4 linked regions of the Macaca mulatta genome follow. The protein of the gene in region 2 purifies or fractionates together with the protein of the main gene of each other region. This does not show direct contact. Links are inferred from orthologs where the notes say so. Each region holds a gene or a part of one and is shown on either strand. Other genes may lie near its edges.

The links.
Region 1: the proteins of CD9 (region 2) and ITGB1 purify together in Homo sapiens (co-immunoprecipitation; 5 studies listed by BioGRID and IntAct, with this or other methods). This does not show direct contact. The link is inferred for Macaca mulatta from reciprocal best matches to the Homo sapiens genes CD9 and ITGB1.
Region 3: the proteins of CD9 (region 2) and IGSF8 purify together in Homo sapiens (affinity purification with mass spectrometry; 5 studies listed by BioGRID and IntAct, counting the BioPlex papers as one, with this or other methods). This does not show direct contact. The link is inferred for Macaca mulatta from reciprocal best matches to the Homo sapiens genes CD9 and IGSF8.
Region 4: the proteins of CD9 (region 2) and PTGFRN purify together in Homo sapiens (co-immunoprecipitation; 8 studies listed by BioGRID and IntAct, with this or other methods). This does not show direct contact. The link is inferred for Macaca mulatta from reciprocal best matches to the Homo sapiens genes CD9 and PTGFRN.

Annotation. Positions count from the first base shown.
Region 1 is NC_133414.1:34,305,332-34,312,945, reverse strand, and holds part of ITGB1 (integrin beta-1), read left to right. Parts: intron 1-550; coding exon 551-706; intron 707-1,542; coding exon 1,543-1,638; intron 1,639-1,938; coding exon 1,939-2,028; intron 2,029-3,554; coding exon 3,555-3,722; intron 3,723-3,894; coding exon 3,895-4,094; intron 4,095-7,614.
Region 2 is NC_133416.1:7,162,733-7,170,346, reverse strand, and holds the end of CD9 (CD9 antigen), read right to left. Parts: intron 5,888-7,614; coding exon 5,789-5,887; intron 5,639-5,788; coding exon 5,549-5,638; intron 4,602-5,548; coding exon 4,518-4,601; intron 2,422-4,517; coding exon 2,356-2,421; 3' UTR 2,030-2,355; downstream 1-2,029. UniProt on the Homo sapiens protein: Integral membrane protein associated with integrins, which regulates different processes, such as sperm-egg fusion, platelet activation and aggregation, and cell adhesion.
Region 3 is NC_133406.1:106,789,018-106,795,517, reverse strand, and holds the end of IGSF8 (immunoglobulin superfamily member 8), read right to left. Parts: intron 4,505-6,500; coding exon 4,095-4,504; intron 3,405-4,094; coding exon 2,943-3,404; intron 2,797-2,942; exon of another isoform or gene 2,695-2,796; coding exon of another isoform or gene 2,653-2,694; intron 2,564-2,652; coding exon 2,156-2,563; intron 1,927-2,155; coding exon 1,513-1,926; intron 1,507-1,512; exon of another isoform or gene 1,438-1,506; coding exon of another isoform or gene 1,282-1,437; intron 1,171-1,281; coding exon 1,055-1,170; 3' UTR 1,040-1,054; intron 864-1,039; exon of another isoform or gene 841-863; 3' UTR 575-840; downstream 1-574. Other genes in the region: KCNJ9 (G protein-activated inward rectifier potassium channel 3), read left to right, coding at 1,282-1,437. UniProt on the Homo sapiens protein: Member of the immunoglobulin superfamily (IgSF) that links tetraspanin-enriched microdomains to the actin cytoskeleton and plays several important roles in innate and adaptive immunity.
Region 4 is NC_133406.1:123,367,633-123,375,979, reverse strand, and holds the start of PTGFRN (prostaglandin F2 receptor negative regulator), read left to right. Parts: upstream 1-3,682; 5' UTR 3,683-3,973; coding exon 3,974-4,022; intron 4,023-4,353; exon of another isoform or gene 4,354-8,347. UniProt on the Homo sapiens protein: Inhibits the binding of prostaglandin F2-alpha (PGF2-alpha) to its specific FP receptor, by decreasing the receptor number rather than the affinity constant. Functional coupling with the prostaglandin F2-alpha receptor seems to occur.

The sequences.
Region 1 (7,614 bases), on a different chromosome or scaffold from region 2:
AACAGTACTGATTGAGGAGTTAGAATGGGTGAAATTATCCTTAAACAAGATAATTATTTCCGTTATAAAAAAGGGAAGCCTCATATGGTGGGCTGATAAGGTGTATGGCATAGAATATAGAGCAGATGGGTGGATGGGGACAAGACAGCAGCAGTGGGGTAAAGTAAGAATAGGCTGAGACACTTTCATTTATTCAGCAAATGTTCATCGAGCGCTTACTGCTTGTCAAGCAGTGTGCTGGCTTGCTAGCTGCTGGAGATACGATGATAAGCAGAACCAAACCAAACCAAACAACAACAACAAAAAACAGTTTTTAAAAAGAACTGAGAGAGATGGATGGTCAGGCAAGATATGGTTGTACATGGGATGGAAGAGCTTCATTCACTGGGCTTTGTGCATTTCTCAGCAAGATAATTAGCATTGTATAAAGAGAAGACACAGAAAAAACAGAATTAGGTTAAAATACAATGGTGGCCTGTATGAAAATTAAAGGATTTTTGTTGAATTACCGTGAATAGTGTTTTAAAATTGAAATCCTTTTCTTTTCAAGTCACTGATTGGCTGGAGGAATGTTACACGGCTGCTGGTGTTTTCCACAGATGCCGGGTTTCACTTTGCTGGAGATGGGAAACTTGGTGGCATTGTTTTACCAAATGATGGACAGTGTCACCTGGAAAATAATATGTACACAATGAGTCATTATTATGTAAGTGCTTAGTTCCTTACATAGCAAATGTGTTTATGTTGGATTTTAATGTTTAATACTAAGAGTTTGTGGGTGACTGGCTTGGGGTTTCTCAGGGTTTGAGGTTTTGCTATTTTGGTAAGTAGGGATCCTGATTGAAAGTGCAGGAAAGCTAGTGTTGCTGTTTGTGAAGATGTGGCTTTGTATTTGCTTCCTTCTGCTCAGACAAGGGCCTCACTGGGGTGAGAAAGGGATGCCCAGATGCCACTTTCACTCTTTGCCTCAACTCCCTGCCCACAGCATTTGGTAGCACAGTCAGTACTATTTCTAAATAAATAATTTATCTAGTCTCATACTCTTTGTCTTATATGATTTTTAAAAGCAGTCACTCTGCCTTTATTGAAAAGAAATATTGGCAAAAGCATTCAGGTTCTAGAAGAAATCCAAATGGGAAATCTTGGTCTTTTTCTTAAGTTGTAGATAGTAGAATATTTGATTACTGACTATTCTTTAATTTCATTGTCCCTATATTTAATATACATAGATAATCTTACTATTTAAAACCTTTTGAATATGGAATTTTTTGTTCAAACATGAAAGAGAAGAGGATTAGCAATTCATGTATACACACTACTCACTTCAGCAGTTTATATTTGATATTATTTGAAAGCAGTCTTGTAATCTAGTTATATGTATGCAAGAGATGTACTCTAACTATATATAAATTACATATGTAATCTAGTTATCTAAAGCAGTCTTGTAATCGAGTTATGTATAATCTTGCATGTATGACTAGATTGAAAAATTAGATTATAAGGGTGTATTTACATACTAAAATATATTACTTGATTTCTTAGGATTATCCTTCTATTGCTCACCTTGTCCAGAAACTGAGTGAAAATAATATTCAGACAATTTTTGCAGTTACTGAAGAATTTCAGCCCGTTTACAAGGTAAATGTGTGAGATAAAAAGAACAAAATTCTAAATATTTTTGGTTGAGTTGTTAGAGGCAAATCATGTCTGAATTGAAATGTGGGAAAATGCCACCAGATAGGCAAACCGAATTTTACAAAAGTGGTTTATATTAACTTTTAATTACATATTATAAAACTGGTTTCTAGGTTTGACTCCTAAAGTTAGTTAGGATGAGACATATGGGAACTGGCATTTAAAGATAAAAGTTGCTCAGTAGATGCTAATTGGTTGAATGAATAGTAGATGTATTTTACGTGTTTTATCTTTTAATTGCAGGAACTGAAAAACTTGATCCCTAAGTCAGCAGTAGGAACATTATCTGCAAATTCTAGTAATGTAATTCAGTTGATCATTGATGCATACAATGTGAGTACATCTTAAATAAGATCAGTTTTGGACAATACCCTGTTGAGAATACTTTCTTCAAAGAAAGTGAAACTTCCTTCATACACACCTTAGCGAGCCCAAAGTACTACAGAAATCTTAAATCTTAAAGGCATATTCTGATAGAATAGATGACTTTTCTGATAGAAAAGTTGTGTTTTTTTTTTTTTTGGCCAATTCTTTTCCCATATATTCAGAGGATATAGGTTTCTATTCAGGAGGTACACATACACTCATATATACATATACCATAAAATACATAAAAATGTAAATATATGTGTGATTTGCCTATTTCAAAAAGATTTATAGTGTTGTTTTCTCCTCACAGATGGGAGGAAGTTGAATTGAAATTAAAGAGGAATTGGCTTCTCCTTTTTGAGCATAATTCAGTGTACTTCAGTCACACTGAGTTAGCCTTAATTAGTGATCATTTAAATAATCTGAAGGCAATTGTAATATTATGGTAACCCTTGTGTGCCTCGTGCACCGCTTTCAGCCCCCATCCCCCTAACCCTTTGGCAGCTTGAATTTTAGACATTTTTACCTCATGTCATGGGGGTACCATAATACTTTGGAAAGGCCTGACTCGGAGGGGTTTTTACAAAGGTTTTTAAGGTTTTACTGGTTCCACAGCTTTTCCATTCTCCCCTGTTAGATAATTTTCGTAACCCCTGTTTTTCAGGGGTGTGAACAAGAGATAGCTTGCCATTTTACCCTTCTCCATTTGTCCTGAATAGTCTCATACGTTAAACAAGCACTGGTTTGAATCCTTGGGGGATTTTGGGTTTTTTTGTTTGTTTGTTTGTTTTGGCTGGGCTACAATGGTTCCTTAAGCAAATTTGTTCCTAGACTGCATAGTTGATTGTTTACCCTAGTCTGTAGTTAGCTGGAGAGGTAGAACTGCAGAAATGCCATTTTGCCAATGGGGAAGACAGCATTTATTTCACTTTTTTTTTTTTTTTTTTTTTTTTTTTAAGATGGAGTCTCGCTCCTGTCTCACCCTCCCGAGTAGTTGGGATTACAGGTGCATGCTGCCACGCCCGCTTATTTTTTTTTTAATTTTTTTTATTTTTGTATTTTGGCAGAGATGGGGTTTCACTGTGTTGGCCAGGCTGGTCTCCAACTCCTGAGCCCAGGCAGTCCACCTACCTCTGCCTCCCAAAGTGCTGGGATTATAGGCGTGAGTTACCACGCCCAGCCTGTTGCACATTCCTAAGACTTCTCCTGATCAGCAGTGGCCCTCCACACTGTGTGATCCTGAGTATTTTAACTCAGCGGTTAAAACACGAATACTCTTTTCAGTTGTGTATTTTATTTTACAGATTGGATCCTTATTAATTAAAACCTATTTCTCTGGCCTCTGTGTTTTCTAGTTGCTCAATTGGATTTGGCTTGTAAATATTTTATTGAAATATATTTTTTTCTGAATAGTTTATTTATCCATTGGTTTTATGCATTCAAGTAGATTTTGTTTGACTTTTCCTGTGTATAATTAGGCATTCTTTTAGTCCCTTTCCTCAGAAGTCATTTTGGAAAACGGCAAATTGTCAGAAGGAGTAACAATAAGTTACAAATCTTACTGCAAGAACGGGGTGAATGGAACAGGGGAAAATGGAAGAAAATGTTCCAATATTTCCATTGGAGATGAGGTATGTTGTATTTCCATTGGAGATGAGGTATGTTGTATAATATAATGTATGAGGTATATATTTTCTGTAGAAAACATTGGTTATTTATAAGCAAAGTTAGTTTGTACTTTGAGAAACATTAAAATAAGTGAGCAACTTTTTGAAATATTTTTTAGTAGATTTAAATTGCTTAGTTGTTAATCTTTTTTTTCCCTTCAAGGTTCAATTTGAAATTAGCATAACTTCAAATAAGTGTCCAAAAAAGGATTCTGACAGCTTTAAAATTAGGCCTCTGGGCTTCACGGAGGAAGTAGAGGTTATTCTTCAGTACATCTGTGAATGTGAATGCCAAAGCGAAGGCATCCCTGAAAGTCCCAAGTGTCATGAAGGAAATGGGACGTTTGAGTGTGGCGCGTGCAGGTAAGCTGGGCATTGTCAGACAGTGACATAGCTACATTGGTTTAGAGAGTACAGGCAGGTCATATTTTGGGACATCCAGAGAATATCTCTCTATTTGGAGCAAATATTTTTTCCAACCACGGTTGCTCACCACAAGATCAGTTTGATGATCTTGTGTGTGATATTTATATAAAGTTCCTTCCTGCCTTTTTTTCTTAAAGTGATTACTCTTTAAAATAAAAGATTTTATAGCCATGGAAGAAGTATATTCAACAAGTTGTCAAGGTAGTGTTTCTCTCATGTGAGAGCAATCTGAATTTATTAGAACAAAATAAGCTTATGTAAAATATGTTTATAGAAAAATAAAAACATCAAACCGGTGATGGTGATTTTGTTGGGGAAATGGAATTATGAAGCAATAGAAGATGTTTGTCTTGTACTACATGTACTTCTGCATTGTTGGAATTTAAAAAAAAATAAATATGTGTTGTAAAATAAAAAAGAGAAAATGGTATTTTCAGCATGTAGTGTCTAATACTAAGAAAACTAACAAAATTACTTCAGATTTTATTTTCACACTGTGGTTATTTTTTGTAATTGAAAATTAAAAACTGAGTATACTTTGAATACAGCTTTCTCCGTAAAAGAATAGGAAGAGGGGAGAGTGTTGAATCCAGTGTTAGCCCCAAATGACTAGGCTTAGAAGGCTGTTGACCATGAAAGAAATACATGGCTGTAGCTCACTATCAGTTTTTAATTGTCTGTGCTAAGTAATAATTTAAATGTTAGAATTTTTTTATCTTCCATGTTGTACATATCCTGTTTTAATCATGCAGGCCCATTTTTAGTAAATGTCATTTAACCAAAAAGATTATCTTGAAAATACTTTGCCTTTCTTTCCTTTATATTTTTACCAGATACAGAATCAGTGCAGTCAGTGTCCGTGAGCATTATGTGTTCTAAAAATACACAGGGAACCTGAAAAGTCTGCACCTGTAGGATAAATTTGTTTTTAAATAGTATACTAGTTATATTTTTAAGTGGTATGCACGGTATGTTTTTCTTCAACTTCCATACACTTTTTTGCATGTGTAATTGTATTTTTTTAGGCTAACAGACCATTGCTTTAAATTTAGACAGTTCATCTGGAATAGTAAATGTAATAGCATATACTATTTGAAAATGTAACTAATGTACTCTTTAAGTTTATTCTGCCTTTCCACATGTGTCATTCACTATTTATTGCTAGATTACATTTTCATCTTGACCAAAATGGTTACTTTCCTGAATAAATTTTTTTCCTAGACTCTTGCACATATTCCGTATGAACTCAAGTTCATACGGAACTGAAATGTACATGTGTGCCTGTGTATATTTGTCCATGCTGGCACATGTGTGTACACTTTACCACATGTCTGTGACATGTGGCATGGACACTCCCACCTAATAGATTGGTAGCTTGAAGAGATTTTTTATAGTTTTATTTCCTTTCCCAGTTTTTCTCTTTTAAATTATTTTCCCCTCCAAGATTCTTCTTCTTCTTTTTTTTTTTTTTTTTATTATACTTTAAGTTCTAGGGTACCTGTGCACAACTTGCAGGTTTGTTACATGTGTATACATATGCCATGTTGGTGTGCTGTACCCGTTAACTTGTCATTTACATTAGGTATATCTCCTAATGCTATCTCTCCCCCCTCTCCCCACGCCCTGGCAGACCCCGGTGTGTGATGTTCCCCAGCCCGTGTCCAAGTGTTCTCACTGTTCAATTCCCACCTATGAGTGAGAACATGCAGTGTTTGGTTTTCTGTTCTTGCGACAATAGTTTGCTGAGAATGATGGTTTCCAGCTGCATCCATGTCCCTACAGAGGACATGAACTCCTCCTTTTTTATGGCTGCATAGTATTCTATGGTGTATATGTGCCACATTTTCTTAATGCAGTCTGTCATTGATGGACATTTGGGTTGGTTCCAAGTCTTTGCTATTGTGAATAGTGCCGCAATAAACATACATGTGCATGTGTCTTTATAGCAGCATGATTTATAATCCTTTGGGTATATACCCAGTAATGGGATGGCTGAGTCAAATGGTATTTCTAGTTGTAGATCCTTGAGGAATCACCACACTGTCTTCCACAATGGTTGAACTAGTTTACAGTCCCACCAACAGTGTAAAAGTGTTCCTATTTCTCCACATCCTTTCTAGCACCTGTTGTTTCCTGACTTTTTAATGATCGCCATTCTAACTGGTGTGAGATGGTATCTCATTGTGATTTTGATTTGCGTTTCTCTGATGGTTAGTGACGATGAGCATTTTTTCATGTGTGTTGACTGCATGAATGTCTTCTTTTGAGAAGTGTCTGTTCATATCCTTTGCCCACTTTTTGATGGGGTTTTTTTTCTTATAAATTTGTTTGAGTTCTTTGTAGGTTCTGGATATTAGCCCTTTGTCAGATGAGTATATTGCAATAATTTTCTCCCATTCTGTAGGTTGCCTGTTCACTCTGATGGCAGTTTCTTTTGCTGTGCAGAAGCTCTTTAGTTTAATTAGATCCCGTTTGTCAATTTTGGGTTTTGTTGCCATTGCTTTTGGTGTTTTAGTCATGAAGTCCTTGCCCATGCATGTGTCCTGAATGGTATTACCTAGGTTTTCTTCTAGGGTTTTTATGGTTTTAGGTCTAACATTTAAGTCTCTAATCCATCTTGAATTAATTTTGTATAAGGTGTAAAGAATGGATCCAGTTTCAGCTTTCTATATATGTCTAGCCAGTTTTCCCAGCACCATTTATTAAATAGGGAATCCTTTCCCCACTTCTTGTTTTTGTCAGGTTTGTTAAAGATCAGATGGTTGTAGATGTGTGGAATTATTTCTGAGGGCTCTGTTCTGTTCCATTGGTCTATATCTCTGTTCTGGTACCAGTACCATGCTGTTTTGGTTACTGTAGCCTTGTAGTATAGTTTGAAGTCAGGTAGCGTGATGCCTCCAGCTTTGTTATTTTGGCAATGTGGGCTCTTTTTTGGTTCCATATGAACTTTAAAGTAGTTTTTTCCAATTCTGTGAAGAAAGTCATTGGTAGCTAAATGGAGATGGCAATGAATCTGTAAATTACCTTGGGCAGTATGGCCATTTTCACGATATTGATCCTACCCATGAGCATGGAATGTTCTTCCATTTGTTTATGTCCTCTTTTATTTCATTGAGCAGTTTGTAGTTCTCCTTGAAGAAGTCCTTATCCCTTGTAAGTTGGATTCCTAGGTATTTTATTATCTTTGAAGCAATTGTGAATGGTAGTTCATTCATGATTTGGCTCTCTGTTTGTATGTTATTTGTGTATAAGAATGTTTGTGATTTTTGCACACTGATTTTGTATCCTGAGACTTTGCTGAAGTTGCTTATCAGCCTAAGGAGATTTTGGGCTGAGACAGTGGCGTTTTCTTTTTCTTTTTTTTTTTTTTTTATTATTATTATTTTTAATTTATTTATTATTATTATACTTTAAGTTGTAGGGTACATGTGCATAACGTGCAGGTTTGTTACATATG
Region 2 (7,614 bases):
TCCCAAGTAGCTGGGACCACAGGTGTGCACCACCATGCCCAGCCAGTTGTTTTTGTTTTGTTTTGTTTTGTTTTTTAAAGAGATCGGGTCTTACTATTTTGCCCAGGTTGGTCTTGAACTGGGCTCAAATAATCCTCCCACCTAAACCTCCCAAAGTGCTGGGATTACAGGTGTGAGCCGCCGTGCTCAGCCCATATTAACAATTTTTAAGCATACAATGTAGTGGCACTAAGTATATTCACAAAGTTTTGCAACAATCACCACCATCTATTTCTAGAACTTCTTCATTATCCCAAACAGAAACTCTGTACTCATTATACCATAACTCCCTATTTTCCCTTCTCTCTAGCCTCTGGTTACTTTTAATCTATTTTCTTTATAAATTTACCAGTTCCAGGTACCTCCTATCAAGGGAATTGTAGAATATTTGTTCTTTTGTGTCTAGCTTATTTCAATGAGCATAGCGTACTCAAGGTTCATCCATGTTGCAGCATTTAAGGTGGAATTCTATTCTATCATATGGCTATGCCATGTATTGTTTGTCCATTTATCTGTTGATGGACATTTGAGTTGGCACCTTTTGGCTATTGTGAATAACACTGCTATCAACTTTGGTGTTCTGATGTTTGAATGTAATGGCATTCAGGGACATTTTGATCCTTCTTTCCTGTTTTTCTTTTTGTAGTGTTAAGGAGGAACCCAAATGGAATTAAGGAATGGAAAATAAAAATTGGTTTCTTATGCCTCTGCACTTCACCTTTCTCCTGTTCATCCCACTCTGCCATTATTGCCTGCTTGCCTCCGAATGGCCCACGACAGTGCAGTCTGAGCACGGACCACACCTCCCATGCAGCGGTGGCTTTGTGATCTGTCCACCTGGGTAAGCTGAACCACACTTCCCAGAATTCTCTTCCTGTGTGTTTCCGGTTAAGAGTAGAGCACAGAGGAGAAACTTGTGGAAGGTTTGGAGGTGGGAAGTGAAGCAGCGGTCATTTCACAGCTCATACGAATTGTGACTTCTCTGCTGGCTCACCTCAGCAGAGGCAGGTACTAACACAGGGCCGGGTGCGGTGGCTCACACCTGTAATCCCAGCACTTTGAGAGGCCAAGGCGGGTGGATAGCTTGAGACCAGCAGTTCAAGACCAGGCTGGGCAACATGGCAAAACCCTTCTCTACAAAAAATACAAACATTAACCGGGTGTGATGGCTCATGCCTGTAGTCCCAGCTACTTGGGAGGCTACAGGGAGCTGAGATTGGGCCATGACATTCCAGCCTGGGCAACAGAGCGAGACCCTGTCTCAAAAAAAAAAAAGAACTGACACAGACGGATGTGTCTGCCTTCAAGGGCTCCCGCTCGGGCCTGTCCTCCCTTACGTTACGTCCGTCTGTCCTTCCCAGTTGTCTGCAGAGCCTGCTTAAGCAGCCCCAGTGCCAGTGACTGTGTTAAGGTCAAATTCCCACAACAAATCTCTTCAAACAAGTACCTCTTAGTGGTTCTGCTTCTCTGATGAAACCCTGATGGGTACACACTCATTTATTCATTCAACCAACAAATATTCACTGATAAAAAAATACTGAGCACTACTATGCACCAGAAACTGGGGGCTAGGCAGTGAATAAAACAAAGTTCTGCCACCATGGTGTGACGTGTACTGTCATGTCCCCAAGATATACGTGTCACACTGCTGAATGAGCGTCTGGGCACCAGCTGCTGGTGCTGACTCCTCTGTTAACACCTGTGTGACTCTGGATCAGAATCCCTTAATCTTTCCACATCTAGATGTCTTCATTAGTAAACAAACTGGGGTGAGCAACTGCCCAAACTACTTCTCATATAAATGCAGGTAGAGTTAATAGCAGTTGAAAGACATTTGCAAACCAAATAGCTCTCAAAATAATTAAAGGAAACCAAAACCAGTCCAGGACATTGTCATAATTTTTTATTATGTATCAAATTGTCTTCAATATAAGTTACAACTTGATTAAAGTCGATAGACATTTGTATCTATTTAAAGACAAAAAAATTCTTTATGTACAATATCTTGTCTAGAGTCTAGCAAATATAGTACCTTTCATTGCAGGATTTCTGCTTAATATAACAAGCAAAAACAAACAACTGAAAAAATATAAACCAAAGCAAACCAAACCCCCCGCTCAACTACAAATGTCAATATTGAATGAAGCATTAAAAGACAAACATAAAATAACTTTAGCTTTTATCTAGAAGTGCAGAATGAATACTAAAATTAGTGGCAAAAAAAAAACAAAATCAAAAACAAAAACCAAACAACCAACAAACAAATCCCAACAATCTTCATGGGTAAACTTTCCTGCTCAGGGATGTAAGCTGACTCTAGACCATCTCGCGGTTCCTGCGGATAGCACAGCACAGGATCATACTGAAGATCATGCCAAATATCTGGGAGATAGGAAGAAACATGAGGATCAGGGTGGTTTGATGTGAAGGCAGGCTGAGGGAAAGGTAGAGACACGGGTCACCCAGTCCAAGACAAATGACAAGGAGAATGGCATCCAGGAGGCCAAACGAGTCAGAAGGTACCGAAGCAGGAGAGATGCAGGCCAGATAACGAGAAGGACGCGGGACGTGAGGAATCTGGGGGGTTGGCAGTCAGGTGCACAAGCAGCTTCCTTGGGAACTTTCAGGGTGGGACAAGGAAGCTCAGAGCCAAATTAAATGCTCAAATTCCAGGTTTTCCTACAGTTCATACAGGTTAGTACTTTTGCGCTTGTCTTTGTGTGTATTTAATATTCCTTTTTTTTTTTTTGAGACGGAGTCTTGTTCTGTTGCTTAGGCTAGAATGCAGTGATGCGATCTGCCTGCCTCGGCCTCCCAAAGTGTTAATATTTTATTATTATTATTATTATTATTATTATTTTATTTGTTTATTTTTTTGAGATGGAGTCTCGCTCTGTCACCCAGGCTGGAGTGCAGTGGTGCAATCTCCACTCACTGCAAGCTCCGCCTCCCGGGTTCACGCCATTCTCCTGCCTCAGCCTCCCGAGTAGCTGGGACTACAGGCGCCCACCACCGCGCCCGGCTAATTTTTGTATTTTTAGTAGAGACGGGGTTTCACCGTGTTATCCAGGATGGTCTCGATCTCCTGACCTCGTGATCCGCCCGTCTCGGCCTCCCAAAGTGCTGGGATTACAGGCGTGAGCCACTGCGCCCGGCCTTATTTTTATTTTTTATTTTTGAGACGGAGTCTCGCTTTGTCCCCCAGGCTGGAGTGCAGTGGCGCGATCTCGGCTCACTGCAAGCTCGCCCTCCCGGGTTTACGCCATTCTCCTGCCTCAGCCTACCGAGTAGCTGGGACTACAGGCGCCTGCCATCACGCCCAGCTAATTTTTTGTATTTTTAGTAGAGACAGGGTTTCACCATGTTAGCCAGGATGGTCTCAATCTCCTGACCTTGTGATCTGCCCGCCTGGGCCTCCCAAAGTGCTGGGATTACAGGCATGAGCCACCGCGTCCGGCCTAATATTCTATTTTAAAAGGTATTGTGATATCTTGGCTGGGTACAGTGGCTCACGCCTGTAATCCCAGCACTTTGGGAGGCCAAGGTGGGCAGATTACCTGAAATCAGGAGGTCAAGACCAGCCTGACCAACATGGTGAAACCCCATCTTTACTAAAAATAATTAGCTGGGTGTGGTCGCACAGGTCTGTAGTCCCAGGTACTCAGGAGGCTGAGGCTGGGGCTGGAGAATTGCTTGAACCTGGGAGGTGGAGGTTGCAGTGAGTCGAGATCGCACCATTGCATTCCAGCCGGGGTGACAAGAGTGAAACTTCGTCTCAAAAAAAGAAAAAAAGAAAAGAAAGAAAAGAAAGAAAGTATTATTGTATCTTTTGCTGAAAGGTACTTCATGCCTTTCTTAGATGCCGGAGAAAGGAGGCGATTCTCTCTTTGGGGGCAGTCTGGCAAGGGGGCAGAAGCGGGCGGGGGTGGGGGAAGACTCAGGGAGCCAAGGCCATCCCAGCGAGGACCATGTTCCGTCTGGGGCTTTCCCTCACGGGGAGAGAGGACATGACCCCAAGGAACCTGGTTGGCCGTTGTTGGTTTCTAGGGGCTGATTAGCAGGAGACCTCCTTCTGGCTGCCCATTTTCAGAGGCTCTTCAGGAAATAATTCCCATGCCGGTAGCCTCTAGTGAACTCCTTTCTTAGGGAGAAGAACAGCAGGTGTGTGAGGAGACATGCTCTGAGGACTAGCAGCGCCAGCACTGCTGCCCATGTGCCCTGAACCTTAATGGCTAAGAGAGTCGACTCTGAAGAAACCCAGGGGAAACCTCAGATACTCCACTCAGGAGGTGAGAGGCTTTGATCAGAACGGCGGCCTCTCTGTCTCTCCATTCCCTAGTGGTAAAATGGAAATACTAAGGGCACGAGGACAAAGTGAGCTGACAAATGCACAGACTGCGGCAGTATCTGGGCAGAGCATGGGCTGAATCAGTGTGAATTCCTCAGTCCCCCTCCTGGGACGACATCCCGCCACTCACCATGACCACGGCAATGCCGATGCCCACTGCGCCGATGATGTGGAATTTATTGTCGAAGACCTCTTTGATGGCATCAGGACAGGACTTGGGGAGACAAACCAAGACCTGGGTGACACACAATCCTTGCTCCCGGGGCACCTCCTTCCTCCCATGGCACCCGTCTCACCCGGGAGAACTGGTGGGCAGAGGGTGGGCTGGGGACAGGGGTGTTCAGGGATAAGAGAAGTTCTGGCTGGTGGATGGAAAGGGGAGCAAAGGGATGGCTATGCTAATGGATGCTAAACATTTGGGCAGGACATCAGGGAAGGAGGAGGGACAGGCCCTGCTTGGGGGCCTATTTCTGATACGGTTGTAAGGTCACTTTTTACTACTCTGGAGCTGGACATTAACTCCAGCTTACAGACAGGAGGCACTGACAAAGTCAGAGCGGGAGTCCAAGACTCAGAAGCACGCCTGCCCTCGACAGCTTCCAGGCTGGCAGCAGTGGGCGGTGCCAGAGCACTTGTCGTTCCCCTGGTCTGGCCTTTGTTTTATTTTATTTTTTATTTTTTATTTTTTTTTTTTGAGACGGAGTCTCGCTCTGTAGCCCAGGCTGGAGTGCAGTGGCCGGATCTCAGCTCACTGCAAGCTCCGCCTCCCGGGTTCACGCCATTCTCCGGCCTCAGCCTCCCGAGTAGCTGGGACTACAGGCGCCCGCCACCTCGCCCGGCTAGTTTTTGTATTTCTTAGTAGAGACGGGGTTTCACCATGTTAGCCAGGATGGTCTCGATCTCCTGACCTCGTGATCCACCCGTCTCGGCCTCCCAAAGTGCTGGGATTACAGGCTTGAGCCACCGCGCCCGGCCTTTTGTTTTATTGCCCTTCAGTAAACAGAGGGCCCAAAGTAGGGGAGAAAGAGATGGGTGCCCTGGGACCCTTTCACAGGCAGACCGGGTCTTTCTGAGGCAGCACTTGGCTGCTGTCACTTTTATGCTCGCAGGGTTTGCCCACAGTAATGGTGCAGGGGCACCAGGATCTTGCTCTGAGTTTACCTTTATGGTCAAGGTTTCGAGGACATCCTTCTTGGGGCAGATGTCTGAGATAAACTGTTCCACGCCCCCAGCCAAACCACAGCAGTCCAACTACAGCGAGAAGGCAGGGATGGGGATGAGAGAAACACATTTTAAAAAAGATGATTAGAATGTTTGCACTGGTCTGGTACAGTCAGCACCGCTGTGTGCAGACACGGTCCGGAGTGAGCGCAGGAGGGTGTCTCTGCCAAGGCCACATACCGCATAGTGGATGGCTTTCAGCGTTTCCCGCTGGGGCTCATCCTTGGTTTTCAGCTTGTTGTAGGTGTCCTTGTAAAACTCCTGAACTTCCTTAATCACCTACGATGGGCAGACAAGAGAGGGGCAGAGGCGGCATTTTCACACCTTTCTCCACGAACAAATGTTACGTGTTCCATCTTGTTCTCTCTCTTTAAGCTCTCAGCCACGTGCTTGGACATCACTGGGCAGATGGCAGCTGCTAGCACTGCCTTCTCTCGGGGCCTTTGGGCACTTCCCATCTCCTCCCACGTCCTCCAGAAACCCGCTCTGGCTGTTTCTCCCTGTGTCTTATACTTTGGTCAGTTCTTCAGCTCTGCTTTGCTCCTCAATTGAATCTCTATGCTCTAAAGGATAATAATATTTTAAAAACTACTACTCCTGACTTGACTATTTCCTCAGGCTTCCATCTTCTTTTTCTCTTCACTTAGGTATGAGTTTTGGCAAATTACTAAACCTCTCTGTACGGAGTTTCCACATTTGTCTCTATAGCTCATAAGTTATTGTGAGAATTTAAATGAGATATTGCACGTTAAGCCCTTTGCCACTATGTCCAGTACAGAGTAAATCTGGAGGACGTGTCAGCTATTGTATTATAATATAGGGGATATATTATTATGTGCCTGCATCTGGTACATCCCAATTTGATGCGTATCTGTCCCTTTGATGCTCACCCACATCCAGTTAACAGACCAACAGCCAGCATTTTTCCTTCAGCATCTTTCTGACATTTTTCACAATGATCCATTCCTATTTCTATGGCTGTAGCTGTTATTGCTTGGATACTTTTTTTTTTTTTGAGACGGAGTCTCGCTCTGTTGCCCAGGCTGGAGTGCAGTAGCCGGATCTCAGCTCACTGCAAGCTCCACCTCCTGGGTCTACGCCATTCTCCTGCCTCAGCCTCCTGAGTAGCTGGGACTACAGGTGCCCGCCACCTCACCCGGCTAGTTTTTTGTATTTTTTTAGTAGAGACGGGGTTTCACCGTGTTCGCCAGGATGGTCTCGATCTCCTGACTTCGTGATCCGCCCGTCTCGGCCTCCCAAAGTGCTGGGATTACAGGCTTGAGCCACCGCGCCTGGCCTACTTTTATTTTTTAATAAAAATATTAAAAAGTATTAAATACTTTTTTAATAAAAATATTTTTTAATAAAAATATTAAAAAATATTTAAAAATATTAATAAAAATATTAGACCCTTGGCTGGTCTAAAAGTAGTGAGTTATCTCAATGGATTGCTCACGTCAGTTACAGATGGAAGTCCTTGTTCTATTTTTCCCTGCTTCCCACTACCGTACTTGACTAGTCTCAAGAACAAAACAAAACAATAGGGTTCCTGCCTCCTGCATCTCTCTTCCTTCCCCCTTCCTGCTGAACATGACAAGGTAGCCCTTCCAAAAACACTACTCTGATATGGCCCATCCTGGTCCAAAAGTCTGCAGGGCTCCCCACGTAAGCCCAAGCCCAGCCATGCTCAACCTCTTTGACTGGAAGTCCCCTGCCTCCACTAACTTTCCTCCTGAACACATCTCTCATTCAAGGTTTCACGGCTCCCTTGTCTATGAAGTCAAAAGAGATTCCCTTCCCCACCCCACCTTTTCAAATCCCATAGTACTTTGGATATAAATCACCTCTATGACCCTTGTCGATTTCATGTCTTTTTCCCATACTAGATGGCCAAGTGTCCGGAAGTGGGGCCCATAGTTCAAACATCTGTGGACCTTGCACAGGCTTGGGGGCAGCACTTGGCTCATGGGGGCAGCACTTGAACGTGTTATTTATAGATCAGAGGA
Region 3 (6,500 bases), on a different chromosome or scaffold from region 2:
TGGGTGTATGCAGGTACAGCAAGTACATGCGGGTGCAATGGCTCTGTGGACACACAGGCCCTCCCCTGACTGCCTGTTGTCCCAGCCTGAGTATCAGTTGTGTTCTGAGGCTTCTATTCTGCTGCTATCAGTCAGAAGGAACAAGAATTGCAGCCCCAGGGTCTAGTGGGAGGACTCAGGTCCAAGACTAGCCTGACCAGGAGAATAAGAAGAGTGGGGGAAAGTCTGGGGAGCTCAGAAAAGGCACTGCCCCTAGAGGCCCATGCCCTTTAACATGGGAGAAGCTGGGGAGGGGGGACCACATGCAGCTGGAACCTACCCTCCTTTTCTATGCTTCCCTCCCCAAGTAGGAGTCCAGTCAGGAGTTGTCTCAGCCCTGACAGTTCAGGCAGCAGATGGAACCCAGGTGTCCCCTCCTGGGGTAGGTGGCATGGCCCGTGGAGGCCAGATGGTGTTTGTGGTGGGAAGAGAGGCCTGGGTCGTCCAGAATAGGTTGTCAACCCCCAACCACCTCCCTACTGTGCACCCTGAGCCTTTTACAGTCTCATGATAGGGAAGACACAGCCAAGCCTGCTTTTTATAAAACCAGTTTATTCACCTTTTAGAAAAACTAATTCCAGGATGGGGAATGGCCTCCCTATAGGATCCCTATGAGATCAAGAACAGAAGGCCAGAGGGAGGGGCTTGGGAGGGAAGGAGTGGGGAAGGGGAGGCATGTCTCCCATTCTGGGTAGTGGGAAGTCAAATAAATTAAAGGAAGAGTGGACAGAGGGAGAGGGTGTCCAGGCAACCAGAGGAGGGCTTGGAGCTGGGCCGGAAGACAGTCAACACCTGCAAGACCTGAAAAGGGCACCCAGTGTGAGCTAAGGACAGAGAGCCCTGCGTGGGGCTCCCTCGTGGCCTCCACCCCTTAACAGGGCCCTGTGGATCTGAGCTGCCTACTCCTCCTCCAGGTGGGGCCTGGGAGGGAGCAGCTTGGTTCAGGACTTGGTGGTGGGAAGCCCAGTGAAAACAAGGTTGGGGGGTTCTTTTCCCTCACCTGGGGAGTAAGAGATCACCGTTTTCGAAGCCTCTTCATGAAGCAGCAAGTGATGGTACCAAGGACAGTGGCCCCAGTGACTAGGGCCACCCCTGTACCCACCAGCAGAGGCACCAACAGGGTGTCCAGGGCTGGGGGAGAGAGTATGACTGTTCAGAGAGGATGCCATCATCCTCCACCCATCACACTTGCCTCTACACGTTCCCCATCAAGTTCTCTGAACCCACCTTCTCCATTCACAGGCACCCCATCCCTGCCCACAGCCTGCCCTCTCAGCATGCAAGTCAGCATCAACCACAGAGGACCCCATGCAGGTGGGCACTGCAGGGCTGGAAGTTGGATTTTTTGAGACTTCATGTGACAGGATGTGGAGGAGAGAGATAGTAGCAGGAGGGTGAGAAGATGGGAAGGGAAGGCCAGCAGCAGGGGCCGGCAGGAAGGCAGAGCGAAGAGGGTGGAGGGGTGTCACTTACCATGCATGTAGGGGTAGACTGTAACAGGCCCTGAGCGGGCACTGCCCGCCTGGTACCAGCTGTAGTCAGCATGCTGCACCCAGGCGCTGGGGGCACAGTGGTACACGCCTTCATCCTCGGGCCCCAAGCTGTGCAGTCTCAGCCGATGGCTTCGGGGCCCCACCAGCTCTACGCTGACAGGGCCTCCTCCAGGCCGGACTCCCAGCTCTGCCACACCATCCTGGCCCACGCCACCCACCAGCTGGGCAGGGACAGAGCTGAGCTCTCCGTCCTCTGGTCGCTCCACCCACCAGCTGGCGGCCAGCCGCAGTCCTGGGGGGCCACCCCGCACAGAGATGTTGCACAGCAGGGAGGCAGTCTCCCCCCGGTACACTGTGCCTCCTGCTAGCCACGCCACAGCCTCCAGCACCACGCCTGCAGAACAAAGGACATGGGGTCAGAGGGTGCAGGGCCAGGGAGCATGGGGTCAGAGCTGCTGCCAAGCACCGCCGCAGGAAACTCAGGGTATTCCCACAATATTGGGAGAAGAGGAGCGTGAGGCTGTGGCATGCAAGCAGCCGATGGAGAGGGAGGGGGGCATGGAAACAGAAGGAAAAGGGGTTGACAATCCTCAAACCCTGTCCAGGGCCCAGCCCCCTCTCACCTTCCTCCCGCACGTGTACAGGGAGAGGCCGGGAACGGGCACTGGCTGCTTCACGAAGCCGGGTCCCAGACCCCCGAACATAGGCTTTGGCGAGGCAGCGGTAGGTGCCCGCATCACCAGGCCTGGCAGCCTCTAGCCGCAGCCGGTATGTTCTGGATGCCACCTTCTCCATGGCAATGTGTCGGCCCTCATAGCCAGGGCCCAGGCTGCCCACACCCTCTGTGTCCAGCTGGGCTACCAGGCGGCCAGGCCCAGGTGCCCCCGCAGGTGCCATCTCCCAACCTACAGAGTATGCAGCATGACGGCCTGCTGGGGGAAGTGCCCCTGACACATTGCACAGCAGTTCCAAGGGCTCCCCTGGGCCGATCCGACGTTCACCAGGCCCCACTGTTACTGCCAGCTGGCTGGCTGAAACACAGGAAGGGGAAGAGGTGTCATGGAGGCAGGAGGGGACACAGAGGCACCTGATTCCCAATTTTCTGTTTCCTCCTTGACAGCAGCAACTTCAAAACCTCCTGTCTGCCCCTCACTGGGTATGATCATCTTTCTACTTGGGGGCTTGAATCTCACCCCTCAGCCATGGGCCTCCTAGCTCTATACCCAATTTCTGAGCAGAGAAAACCCATCAAGGGCAGAGGGGGAAGAAATGCTAACAAGGCTGCTCACTCTGTGGAAGATGAGTTCCTTGGAGTCAGATGATAGCTCTCTGGTACCCCCTGCGGCCACAGCACCCACCAGGATACTGTCCCTCCCAGCTCCCACAGTGGGATGTATAAGTGGTACTTACACAGTGTCTGCACGTCCACGTGGGCCAGGACAGCCCTTTTCTCTGCGATCTGGGCCCAGCTGCCATCAGGATCCTGAATCCACTCAGCGGCAGTGCAGTGGTAGGTGCCTGCGTCCCCTGCCTGGGCACCCCCTACTACCATGCGGTACCGATCGGTCCCTTCCTTGCCCAGACGAAGCTCCCCTGCAGCCAGTCGCTCAGCATAGGGAGCTCCGGCCTCCACGGCCAAGTCTGACCGGATTCCCACCACTTCCTGCAGAGTTGCTCGCCCAACTGGTGCCTCAGGCACAGATCGCCCAAAGGACACAGCCAGGTGTGTGTGCTGCTGTGTGCTTGTCCTCGCCAGGCAGCCCAGTGCCAGCTCCTGCCCCTCATGCACCATCAGGCGTGGGGGTGAGGTTGGGGCCTGGCGGCCTCGGGGCCCTGGGGGGGCAGCAGACACCTGGAGGGCATCTGGAAGAACTGGAGAGAACAGCTGGAGTGAGGGAGGGCTGGGAGCTGGCAGCCCTTGTTACTGTTTCCTGTGTACAGCCTATCTCCCTAAATAGACTGTGAGCTCTCAGAGGGCAAAGATTGCATGTTGTATTATTTCCTCTGTAACTCAGTGGTGCCAAGTGCAGTACTGGGCACAGCACAGGCACTCAATAAATACTTGTTGAATTTCATAGAACCAGCCCATGTTGGTTCTATGTTCGAGACTGACCCCTGTTTGAAATACTGAGAAAAGTGGTTCTGTCTTCCTTCTCAGAACACAAAGAAACTTAGTGAGAATGTCACACGGTCTCACTCCTTCCCTAACTCTACTCTCTTTGCCAGATCTGGGTCCTGTACTGTCCAGTAGTAGAGTCTATTCAACCCAATAGTCTTCCTCGTTCTTGGGAATGGAAAGGGGAATGGACAACTTAAGGACCCTTCATCTCCCAGGAGGGGTCTTGATATGATAAGACAAGCACTGGCCTGGGTGAGGCAATCTGGGTTTGAGTCCCATATCAGTCACTGAGTTATTGGGCGACTTTGTGCAAGTCACTTAACCTCTTTGGGCCTCAAGTTCCTTGGCTACAAAACCTAAGGGGCAGTTAGATAGGTCACTTGTGGCTTTGACTTTCTGCCTTGAGAGGGTGTGTGGCCCCACCCCGTCCCAGGGCCCAGTACCTCTCAGCTCCACCTTGCCGCTGTAGCTGCCCAGGTAGCGGGTATCAGTGGAGGGGGTGTGGCACTCATAAATGCCAGCATCCTGGGCCTGCAGGCGGGCAATCTTGAGCACCACAGCATCACCTTGTAGGCGCTGCACCTGCACCTCACCCGCCACCACTCGGGACTTGAAGATAGCATAGGAGAACTGGGTATCCTTGGTACTGACAATGCCCAGTGCAGTATCTGGGGCCTCAGGCCTATACAGGAACCACTCGAAGTTCTGCTGGGCAGGTCCCTCGTAGCCGGTCACGTTGCAGGAGATGGAGACAGCTGTTCCAGTCACGCGGTACAAGGGCCCCTCGGGGACCAGCACCTCCCGGGCCCAGCATCCCATTCCTGTAGGGAAAGGCAGAAGAAGTTGGAGATGCCTGATTCCCCATTCCATGCCCTCTGCCACCACAAGCACCATTCTTGATCTCTGCCTACAAAAGGAAAGGACACCTGGGGAAGATGGTCCACAGCTTGGACCCTGTTCTGAGAATAGGAAAGGGATGCTGTGATATAAGACACCTGGATCTCAAGAAGGTGGCACGGGCCCAGGATTGCCTTGGCACCTAGATGCATCCCATTTCTGGTGGACTAGAAGCAGAGCGCCTGAAGGCAGAAAGGAGTACATCTGATTCCTGACCTAACCAGGCTTTGGTTCCAGCTAAACCTTGATCTGTCCCTGCCACTCACCCACCTCCATGTCTGCCATTCCTTCCTCAGTGCCTGGCCAGGGGAGCCTTCTGGCTGGGGGATGCTGAGACTACATGTCCCTCCCCTTTGCTTGAGGGGAGCTGGCAGTCTTGCTCAGAAGTGCTAGTTGGCTCAGCTGTGTCACCTGGACCAGACAATGGAGCCAGTGACCCTAGCTGGAAAGGGCACAGGCCCAGTCAGTTCTCACCACACAATGCCCTCCCCCCTCCAGCTGCGCAATGAGCTCACTGCTTCTCTCACCCCACAGGGCTGCCCAGGCAGCTGGGGCTTCTGGGGCAAGGTCCAGGCTCTGCTCTCGCCATTGGGGCAGAAGATCCCCTCCTCCAGTGCCTGCCAACCTTCCTGGCTAGCCCAGCAGACACACAAGGCGCCTGCCCCAGTTCCTTAACAAAGCCTTCATTTGCATATGGTATGCATTCATTTACATATATGGCTTTCTTTCTGTAGGGAGGCATTAAATCCCAAGCTGCCCCTTCTCATCTCTCTCCCTTCAGAAAGGTCAAACCTCTCTTCTTCACCCTACTCCACCCCTATGCCCAACTCTACCCCAGCAGATACTCCTGGCAGACTTAGAGGGCTTAGCTCCTCCCTTCTCTCCTTCCATAGCTCCCACTAGATAAAATCGCAGAACCTCAGAATGTAAAGAGGGCTAGGCTACCCCTCCCCCCCTCCCCATTTTACAGATGAGAAAGGTAAGGCAGGAAAAGTATAATATCTTAGCCAAGATCATGCTGTCCCTAGATGGCTTCCACACCCTCCTCCAGAGGGGCAAAACCAGGGAGGAAAATGGGGAAACTCCAAGGCCAGGCCTGAAGGGACTGACCTCACCAACCAGAGTGTCACTTTTAGGCCTCCCAGGGGGATACCATGGACTTTCTGCAGAAGCTAGAGGAAAATGCCCAGGAGTCTGTGGTCAAACTCTACCCTCCAGCTTCTCTAGAATGGCTCCTCTGAACTTCCCCACCCCTGCTGCTGGGCTCCTAGCCCCTTCCTTTATCCTCTGGCTGAGTCACAGGGAGAACTCATGGTCTGTTGTTAAGGGCACAGGCTGTCAATCAGGAAGTGAGATTCCAGCACCATCCCCATGCCCAGCTGTGTGGCATGGGATCCAGTCTCTTTCTGTCCTAGGCCTCGGTTTCCACACTGGAGGAGAACTAAGAGCTCCAGCTCTGACCATGCATGAGTGCGTATGTGACTCAGGAGAGCCCTGCCCCAGGCCAGGCAAGTTTCATAATCAGGGTGATGGTGGAGACGGCCAAGCTGACACCTTCCCTGACTGCCTCGGGGCAGACTGCTCAGAAGGCCCCCTCCCATCTTCCTGGCTCCACAACTGCTGATGCTTGGAGATCCCCATGGGAAAGTTACCTCCACAGCCTTAGGAAATCAGTTGCCACACAGCTCTCTCTCACCTCCTCTGTATTAGTTGCAGCGAGGAAAGGGAGAGCAAAGAGGCCTGCTTTGGAATCAGATCTGTGTTCAAATCCTAGCCCTAATACTCACTAAATGTGCTCTCTGGGGCAAGTTACTTCAATTTCCTCACTTGTGAAATGAATGTAAGTGCCCACAGGCAGTGGGTGCTCAGACGTCTGCGTGCTCCTTTTTCAACCACAGGCCAGCACTTCCCCACCTCCCTGGGCTCCTCCCTGCTCCATGCTGCCCGCTGGG
Region 4 (8,347 bases), on a different chromosome or scaffold from region 2:
AGGACCAGCCCTCAGGCAGGACCCTGCTTAGCCCACACCAAACAGATGAGGTCCCTTGCTGTTTTCAAACTTGTCAGATGAGCATTCTACAGCTTCCCACTAATCTCACCAGTATTGCAGGACTCTCACTCATGGGGAAATAAAGGCCTCCTCTCACCACCCCTCCCTTTTTAACTTTTAATTTCATTTTCTAATTCTGTAATTTAATCCTAAATTTCTTTTTGCTTAGTCATCCCTGTTTAACTTTAACCAGGAAAATATACATCTGGACATGGAACAAGGAAGACTGAGAGTGAAAATGATTACTGGAATGAAACGTTGCCATGGAACATACTCCTGTCCCTGAGCCCCTGCTGAAGTAGGTAGGGGTCAGGGTCCTTTGGAGACTGTGTGCGTGTGGCAGGGCCAAAAACCCCAAGTCTAGGTGAATCTCAGATCAGCAGTTTCATTCACTGGGAACTTTTTAACATTTTCATTCACAAAGTTAAATAATATGATGATGTTTTTGCCTGATCTCAGCAGGGAAACTTGTTTGGCGTAATAGTATGAGGACTCTTGTAAGGTTTTAGGGGTATCACCTGCAGAAAGACATGTGTAACCAGAAGACCATAAGGTCTGACTGCTATGACCAGTGCCCCTTGGGGGCACTATGGTTGGAGAAAAGAAACCTACGTCAGCACTCTCCTTGGGGGTGGGCGTGAATCAATTAGAATTGCTGGAGAGTGAGTCTTCCTGCCCCAGGCAAGCCTATAGACTAAGACAGGAGAACAACCGGTTGGGGCAAAAGCCTTAGCTGTATAGAAGGTTACTCACTCTGGTAAATAAATATCTTTCATAGTAAAAGCATCATCAGATTCCAGAGTCATGAATTAACAAATTGTGCCAGTCTGCTGTGAGTGCTTCTTCCTTTATCCATTGGTAGTCAGGAATGTGCAAAGGGTGTGGTGGTTATAACCAACAGTCTAGAGTTATCAATTTATGCTTATTTTTTGCTTAAAAAAATGGCTCTTTGGTTAACTCCCATGACAGTTAACTGCCAGCCACCAGCAGGCTACCCACTTCAGTTCTCATTCTACCTGCCTTACCTAGACAATTTTATTTATTCTCATCATTTCAACGGTTAACCACTGTTATTCCCATGATTGTAAGGTGCACCATTAATTTAATAACACCCGGGCGTGGGTGAGGCAAGAAGAATCTCTATCACACTAAATACACAACATGTATTGTAAGCTTATCCCTACACTCCACAGCTAAAGACCTACCAATTTTTCAAGACTCAATGCAGAGTCATGACAGCCTCCTCCTGGACTGGCCGCTCCCTTGTGGTGTCACGACTCTACCTTGCACATGCTATCACAATGCACAAACTGTAGGCTCCTCAAGGGCAGGAACTGTCTGCTTCATCCCTGTACCCCCAGGATTTAGCCCAGTGTGTGCCATTAATTCACTCTATAAATATACATTAGGACCTACCATGTGCTAGGCACAGTCCCTGTCACGCATTGTTTATTAAACAAAAGAGTTTTTAAAACATCTACTCTGCCATAAGGTGGGATACAAGGTGAAAATGTGACAGCTTCTTAGGCCCATGCATTATTAGACAGAGATGGGGGCAGTGTATATGTTTCGCTAAAATGAATGTGACCAAGTGCCACAATGTATGGTTCAGACATTAAGTTTTCTAGGTGGTTAAGAAAAGGAAAGATGAAGGATGAGCTGAAATCTGAGCTGCTGAAGGTGCCAGGCCTCACATTTCTCTGAAGCTCCACTATCTTCCAAGGCCTAACATTAGGCTTGCATTCAAGGTTGATTGAATGAAATTGGAAAACTTCCCTGAAAAATTCTAGGGAAGAATTGGGATGGGGAAGATAAAGGAATTACAGTGTGTATGAACAGAACCAGGAAAGGCTTGGTGGCAGAAAAAAATTTAAAAAAAAATTATTGTATAAAATGTACATAACACAAAATTTACCATTTTAAAATTACAACTTTTTTTTTAGAGACAGTGTCTCACAATGTTGCCCAAGTGGTCTCAAACTTCTAGCCTCAAAAACAAAGAAAAAAGAAAAACAAGAAAAAGTTTTGGCCCAGTGGCTCAGACCTGTAATCCTAGTCCTTTGGGAGGCTGAGGCAGGAAAATCGCTTGAGCCCAGGAGTTCAAGACCCGCCTGGCCAACATAGGGAGACTCCAGTGTCTACAAAAAAATAGAAACAATTAGCTAGAGTGTGGTGGCACACATATGTGGTCCCAGCTATTGAGAGGTGGAGGTGGGAGGATTGCTTGAGCCTGGGATGTCAAGGCGGCAGTGATTCCTGATCGCAGCACTGCACTTCAGCCTGGGTGACAGATCGAGATCCTGTCTCAAAAATGAAATAAAGAAAAAAGACAAAACAAATAAAAACTCCTGGTTTCAAGCAACACCATCCTTGCCCCCGCTCCCGGCCTCCCTCTACCCCCGCCCCCGCCCCCAACTTCAGTCTTCTGAGTAGCTAGCATTACAGGCACCAGTTACCATGCCTAGCAATTTTAAACATTTCTAAGTGTACCATTCAGTGCCATTAAGTACAATAACGTTGCACCACCAGGAATGAATTTTTAAGACTCTTTCCAAAGGGTTCATACCTGGCTAATCACACATTTGATAGTGGAAATAAGAAACATTTGTTGGTTGAAACACGGATGCATGAGAGTAAAAGTAATGTTCTTCCCCTGTGTGAGTGTGGGCAGTTTCCGCATAAGCATCTGTGATCCGTTTTCCACATGTGAATGAAAGCCCAGTGAGGGGCAGTGGGCACCAGTCCTGCTCCTTGCGTGTCTGAATCATGCTTGCTAAGTTTCAAGCAAGGAATGCTCCGTTTCTCCCAATACCCGTGGGGCCTTTTGTATTCAAATCAAAAGCACAAAACTCTATTGTGGGGGGAAGTATGAGTCTTTATTGGCAACCAGTGGTGTCCACTTAGAGCAAGAAATATGAAGTCTTAACAGTACATTCTATATGAAGTACTATAGCTATTAATACACTTGGGTTTCGTTTGTTTTTTAAATGGGTGTCTTTGTGTGGAGCTGTTCTAATCAGTGCCACAGGCGCTGAGGAGAGGGAGGGTGCTGGGTAAGGAGGAGGCAGGCCCACCCAAATCACCGGGGAGTGGGCAGTCAGGACAGCGGGGTTCTGATTTTGCCCCTTCCCTGTGAATCCTTGGGCACCTCACCGAAACACTTAAGGCCTCTGTATGGTAGACGTTGGAATCCGTGGCCTTCAAAAGTCCTTTCAGCTCCTTCGCTCCCATCTGCGTAATTTTTGGCATAGGCCAAGCGGCTGGTTGCTGGGGTGTTTAGCTCAGGACGCGAGGCCGAACGAGCGGGCAGTTGATTGAGGATAGACTAGACACGCGTGGGTGACTCCAGCGTGATGGAACGCGGGGTGTCCCGGGATAGGGCTAAAGCGAAGGGATTTCCAGACGAGTCTTTCCCAGGCCAACTTTTAAAGGTCGGAGGAAAGTTTCTCGTGGGGTGGGGGCCTAGAGGGGAAGGCAGGGTGGGCTCCGACGCCTCCTCGCCTTTAAGCGGGTGGCCCCTGCGCTTCCTCCGTTACCTGGAGCGGGGAGGGGCTTGGGAAAGTTTGTGTTTGTTGCTGGCAAAGCGCCGGATGGGAGGCGCGGGCGGGCGGGCGCTGCGGTTCTTCCCTTCTGCTTTCGGGAAGCGGTCGGGGCTGCACACTCGGATCGGCGGGGCCGGCTCCCGGGCCCGGCCGGCTGGAGGAGGGAGGGAAGGAGGCGGGAGGGAGCGAGCGGAGCCAGGGGCGCACGTACGCCCCAGCGCTGGGATTTATCGGCTCGCGAGGAGAGCGGAGCAGGCGCGCGGCCCAGGCGGAGGAGCGCCGACTCTGGAGCAGCCGGAGCTGGAGGAGGAGGAGGAGGAGAGGCGGCGGGGAAGGAGGAGGAGGGGGAGAGTCGCTCCCGCCGGGCGAGCATGGGGCGCCTGGCGCCGAGGCCGCTGCTGCTGGCGCTCCTGTCGCTGGGTGAGTGTGCGCGGGGCTCAGCTGGGCGCAGGGGGTCTGGCAGGGCCCTGGAGGGCTCGGCGGGGCGCGGCTGCAGCGCGCGGCCTGGGTCACTGAGGGTGCCCGGGCTGCTCCCGGGAAACCCGGCCGGGGTGCGCGGGCTGCTTGGCCCGGCGGGGAGCGGCCGCGGGGCCGCCCGGAGCCTGGCGCGAATCAGCCCGGGCCCCGCGCGCAGGGTGCAAGTGGCGGCTCCGCCAGGCCGAGCCTCGCCCCCAACATGTGCCGGGGGGAGTGGCCCGGGCCGGCTTTCCCCAGCCCTCCCTACCTGTTGGCCGCCGGGAGCCCGGCTCACCTTGAACTCCCGGCCCGGAAGGTGCTGCGGTCCCGGCCCGGGTCCCCCGCTCGAGAGCGGAAATGTGAGCCTTTGATATGCCCCGCCATAGCCGCCGCCGGCCGGGTCTCTCTTCGCCCAGCCCGCGCGGAGTTGCCTTTCCAGGGAAGCGAGAGAATCCTCCAACTTCCTTCCACGAAGGTCACAGGGTGGCCCGGAGCGTTACAATGGAAATCGGCGGGCGAGTCCTGCCGTCATTTTCGTCGTGGCTAGATTGTCTGTCTCAGTCTTTTCTTTTAGCTTTTCTTGAAGCTGCCTAGCTGCGTATTTATACACAAAGACCTAAGAGCCTGGCTTCTCCAACTTTTTCTACCTGTTACTTTTCCTCCCTTACTGTCCCCTCATCTTCCACCCTCCGGAAACCCTCGGTGCCCCGTGAGGTTTTGGCCCAGCGCCCTCCCCCCACCCAAGGAATCTTTTGTGGGTTTTTTCCCTCTCCATTTTCCATTCACTCCATACACAGACACCATCTTCACGTAGATCCACATGGTGATCCTAGCCAGCCACGGAAATATGTTTATTAAGTGCCCACCATGGTACCCCAGGGCCGACTCTTAAATGCTTTGATATTCTTGGATCTTTGTGGTCAGTGTCAACCAGGACAAGATGATTCTTATGACCCGGCCTGGGGTTCTCTTCCAAGCCCCTAGAGAAGGCAGATCTGAGTCTTTTACAGAGCGCATGGTGTGCGGTGTCCGTCCCATCCAGGTCCCAGCTGCACACAGGGCAAATGACTACTCTGCACTTATGGTCGGAGGGTCCCAGAGAAGGCCTTCTATAGCCACTCCCCTACTGGGGACACCGGGGGCCCACACTGCTCTAAGCCCCGTGACTCCTGCTGCTGGTAAACCAGCCTTGCTAGCTTCTGTTTTCTTCCTTCACCTTGAAGAGATTTTCTGAACTGACTCCCTCAGAGAGCTCGTCCAGCCACATTGCTTCAGCTTCAGCCCATGTGCAGAAAGCTTCCAGATCTTCCACTTAGTTTTATGGCATCTTTTCTATAGTCCCTGATCCTAGTGCTTTGTTTTTATTTTTGAAACAAAGCCTCACTCTGTCACCCAGTCTGGAGTTCAGTAGCACAACCATAGCTCACTGAAGCCTCAAACTCCTGGGCTCAATTGACTCTCCCACCTGAGCCTCCTGAAGTGCTGGGATTACAGGCATGCTCCACCACACCCGGTGGTAGTGCTTTTAATCTTTACTTTTCACTGCGGGACCCTTGTAAGTTGTATGTTAGTGGTGCACTGCTGTTATAGTCCACACACAATTTTTATTGACTGTGTGTGTCTAGGTCAAGCAGGGCCGTGGCCTGGGTTTGCACAGATTGTGCACTGTGCAACTTCGGGAGCTGCTGTTCACTTTGTAGTCTGTGTGAATGACTCCCCCTAGAGTTGTGCAGTTCTTTGAACAACCTGGGTACCAGTTATGAGGGTGGGATGAGGTAGAACTTTGAAAACTTTGAAAACAATGCCCTTGAGTAATCATAATGAGGGGGGAAGAGGGAAGGGGGCAAAGAGAGACTGACAAAAGCAAAATAGAAGTGGGGAAAGCACAGCTTGGGGAAATCTTGATTGTACTCCAGCATATCCTGTCCTGGCTGGATGCCTCCTATGAATTACACTGGGAATTTCTGTGGTGTCACTAGCCGGTGCCTTTTTACCTGACAGTTCTCTGAACCATTGATGACCCTCCTGATAACTCTGCTGCCACAGAATCTCACTTGGCGTGACTTCAGCCTGACCTCTGGGAAGGTCTCCCTGTGTTACACTACTCTAGCACTGTACTGATCCCTGAAATGTAATACATTGATAAGCAAGATCATCTTTTCTCCTAGGGAGTAACCTGAGTATAATCTTGGTATCACTGCTCTTTTTGACCTCCACATTCACATAGTCTCTCAATTCTTGCGTCTCCCCATAGCACAGACTCCAGCTTCTTCCTTTCCTTCCTGTTTCTACGGCTACTGTCTTAGCCCAGGTCCCAATTGTTTCCCACACAATTGGTGTCTTCGTGGTTGGTTATTTCCTCCAGCCTCCCTTTTAAGCTCATCCTTTTCCTAAATGATCATTTTTGGGGCTCCCACCTGTTCTCACTGGGTCCTTATGACTTTCCTCCAAGGAGATGTTGCCCCTAGTGTCCTCCCCTCCAGTCTTCTCTGGCTGACACACTTTGTTCTATCTAACCTGTTTGCTCTCCTTTATGTAGACTATATTAAACTTTCCGGCCCCTTCTACTTCTCACCTCTTGCCTGTGTATTAGTATTTCCTTTTTCCCCTAAAACTCACTTTCTCCATGAAGCCTTTCTAAACCCACCTACCATGATCCCACCAGAACCCACCCAGCCACATAGGGCAGGTTTCACATCCATTGCCTGTGTCTGATCTGTCTTGCCCGTCCACTCAGTGTGGCATTTCTTGAGTGGCCACTCAAGAAATGTGCCACATTCACAGAGAGAGTGCCACTCTGTGTGCAACCGTGTGTTCAATACTGGGAGTCCCAGACAAATGACCAAGACACAGCATCTGCCTGAGCGGCTGGTGGGTGTGAGTGGACAGAGAATAAAATAGCTAACCACAGGCCTGAATGAAATACCTGACGTGGAAACCAAGTGTGGGAAACAAGGAAGGGGATGATTAATTTTGACTTGGGGGTTGGGGCTGGTTTTGCTGAAGAGGTGACATTTGAGCTGAGCCTTGAGGATAATTAGAATTTTGAAAGAAAGGATAGAAGAGCATTCTAGGCTCTGGGGAAAAGCCTGAAGTGTGGATGAGTGAAAGTACATGGCTCATTCAGAAATGGCACGTAAGTTCTATGTAACTGGGAGGAGGAGGAAATGGGGGTGCAATTATTTGGGGGAGGAGGAAATAATGGGGGAGGAAAGGTGGGTTTGAGATAGATCCTGTAGGTTTTGCGTGCTGTGCTGAGGAGTCTGGACTGGGAGGGGTAGATTTCTTGGCGCTCTGGGTGCTGCCAGGCAGTCTGTGCCCTGTCATCAGAGCATATATTTACTTCATTGTATGTAATTGTCTGTTCCCTACTCCAATTGTTTCCCCTGGGGGCAGGGGCCACATTGGTTTTGTTCACTACAATGTCCCTATTACTAATAGGATATATAACCCATACTGGGTGTTTGTTACATATTGGCTGACTGAATACTTATAAATATATATGTCGTTTTATCTGTGGGAATGGGTAGCCATTAAAAGTTTGTAGGGCGAGATTAGGAGGACAGGGTGGTGTGTTGAGGAGGATAAACCCTCAACTAGTGCAACATAAATTGGAGAGTGGAAGGCACAGAGATTGTAGGGTGGGATTAACACATTTTCTTCATTTATGTCTTTATTTTGGTAAATCTATTGAGATACTTTTTTAAGTGTCAAAAGCATCACATCAGTATTTTAGAATTCAAATAATATAAAAGGACTTTGTATTAATCAGGTAGGCTAAACTGCTCTAACAAACTCGAAGCATAGTGGTTCAGACAATAGATGTGTCTTATATAACAATGTGAGGGAGATGCTTCAGAGGGAAGGGTTGGGTGGGAACCCTGCTTTCCACAGTCATTCTGGCTCCCCAGCTGGTGGCAGTTCCACTGTCTTCAACTCACAGTTTCTAAGATCACTTTGGTAGTCATCTTCACCATTCCAGCCCCTACAAAGGAGGAAAAGAGTGTGGAGTAGAATATATGGAGGCTTTGTGGGTCAGACTTGAAAGTGGCACACGTCATTTCTGCACACGTTCTATTGGAGAGACTTTGGGCCCGTGCCACACTAGCTGTAAGGAAAACTGGGAAGCCATGTGCCAGCTACTATGGAAGAAGGGAAGGACAGATTTTGAGGGAACAGCTAGCAGTCTCTGTGTTACTTATAGAGGATACAAGGTCAAAAGAAAAATCTGGGCTAAACATGTCAGCTCATGCCTGCAATCCCAGCACTTTGGGAGGCCAAGGCGGGAG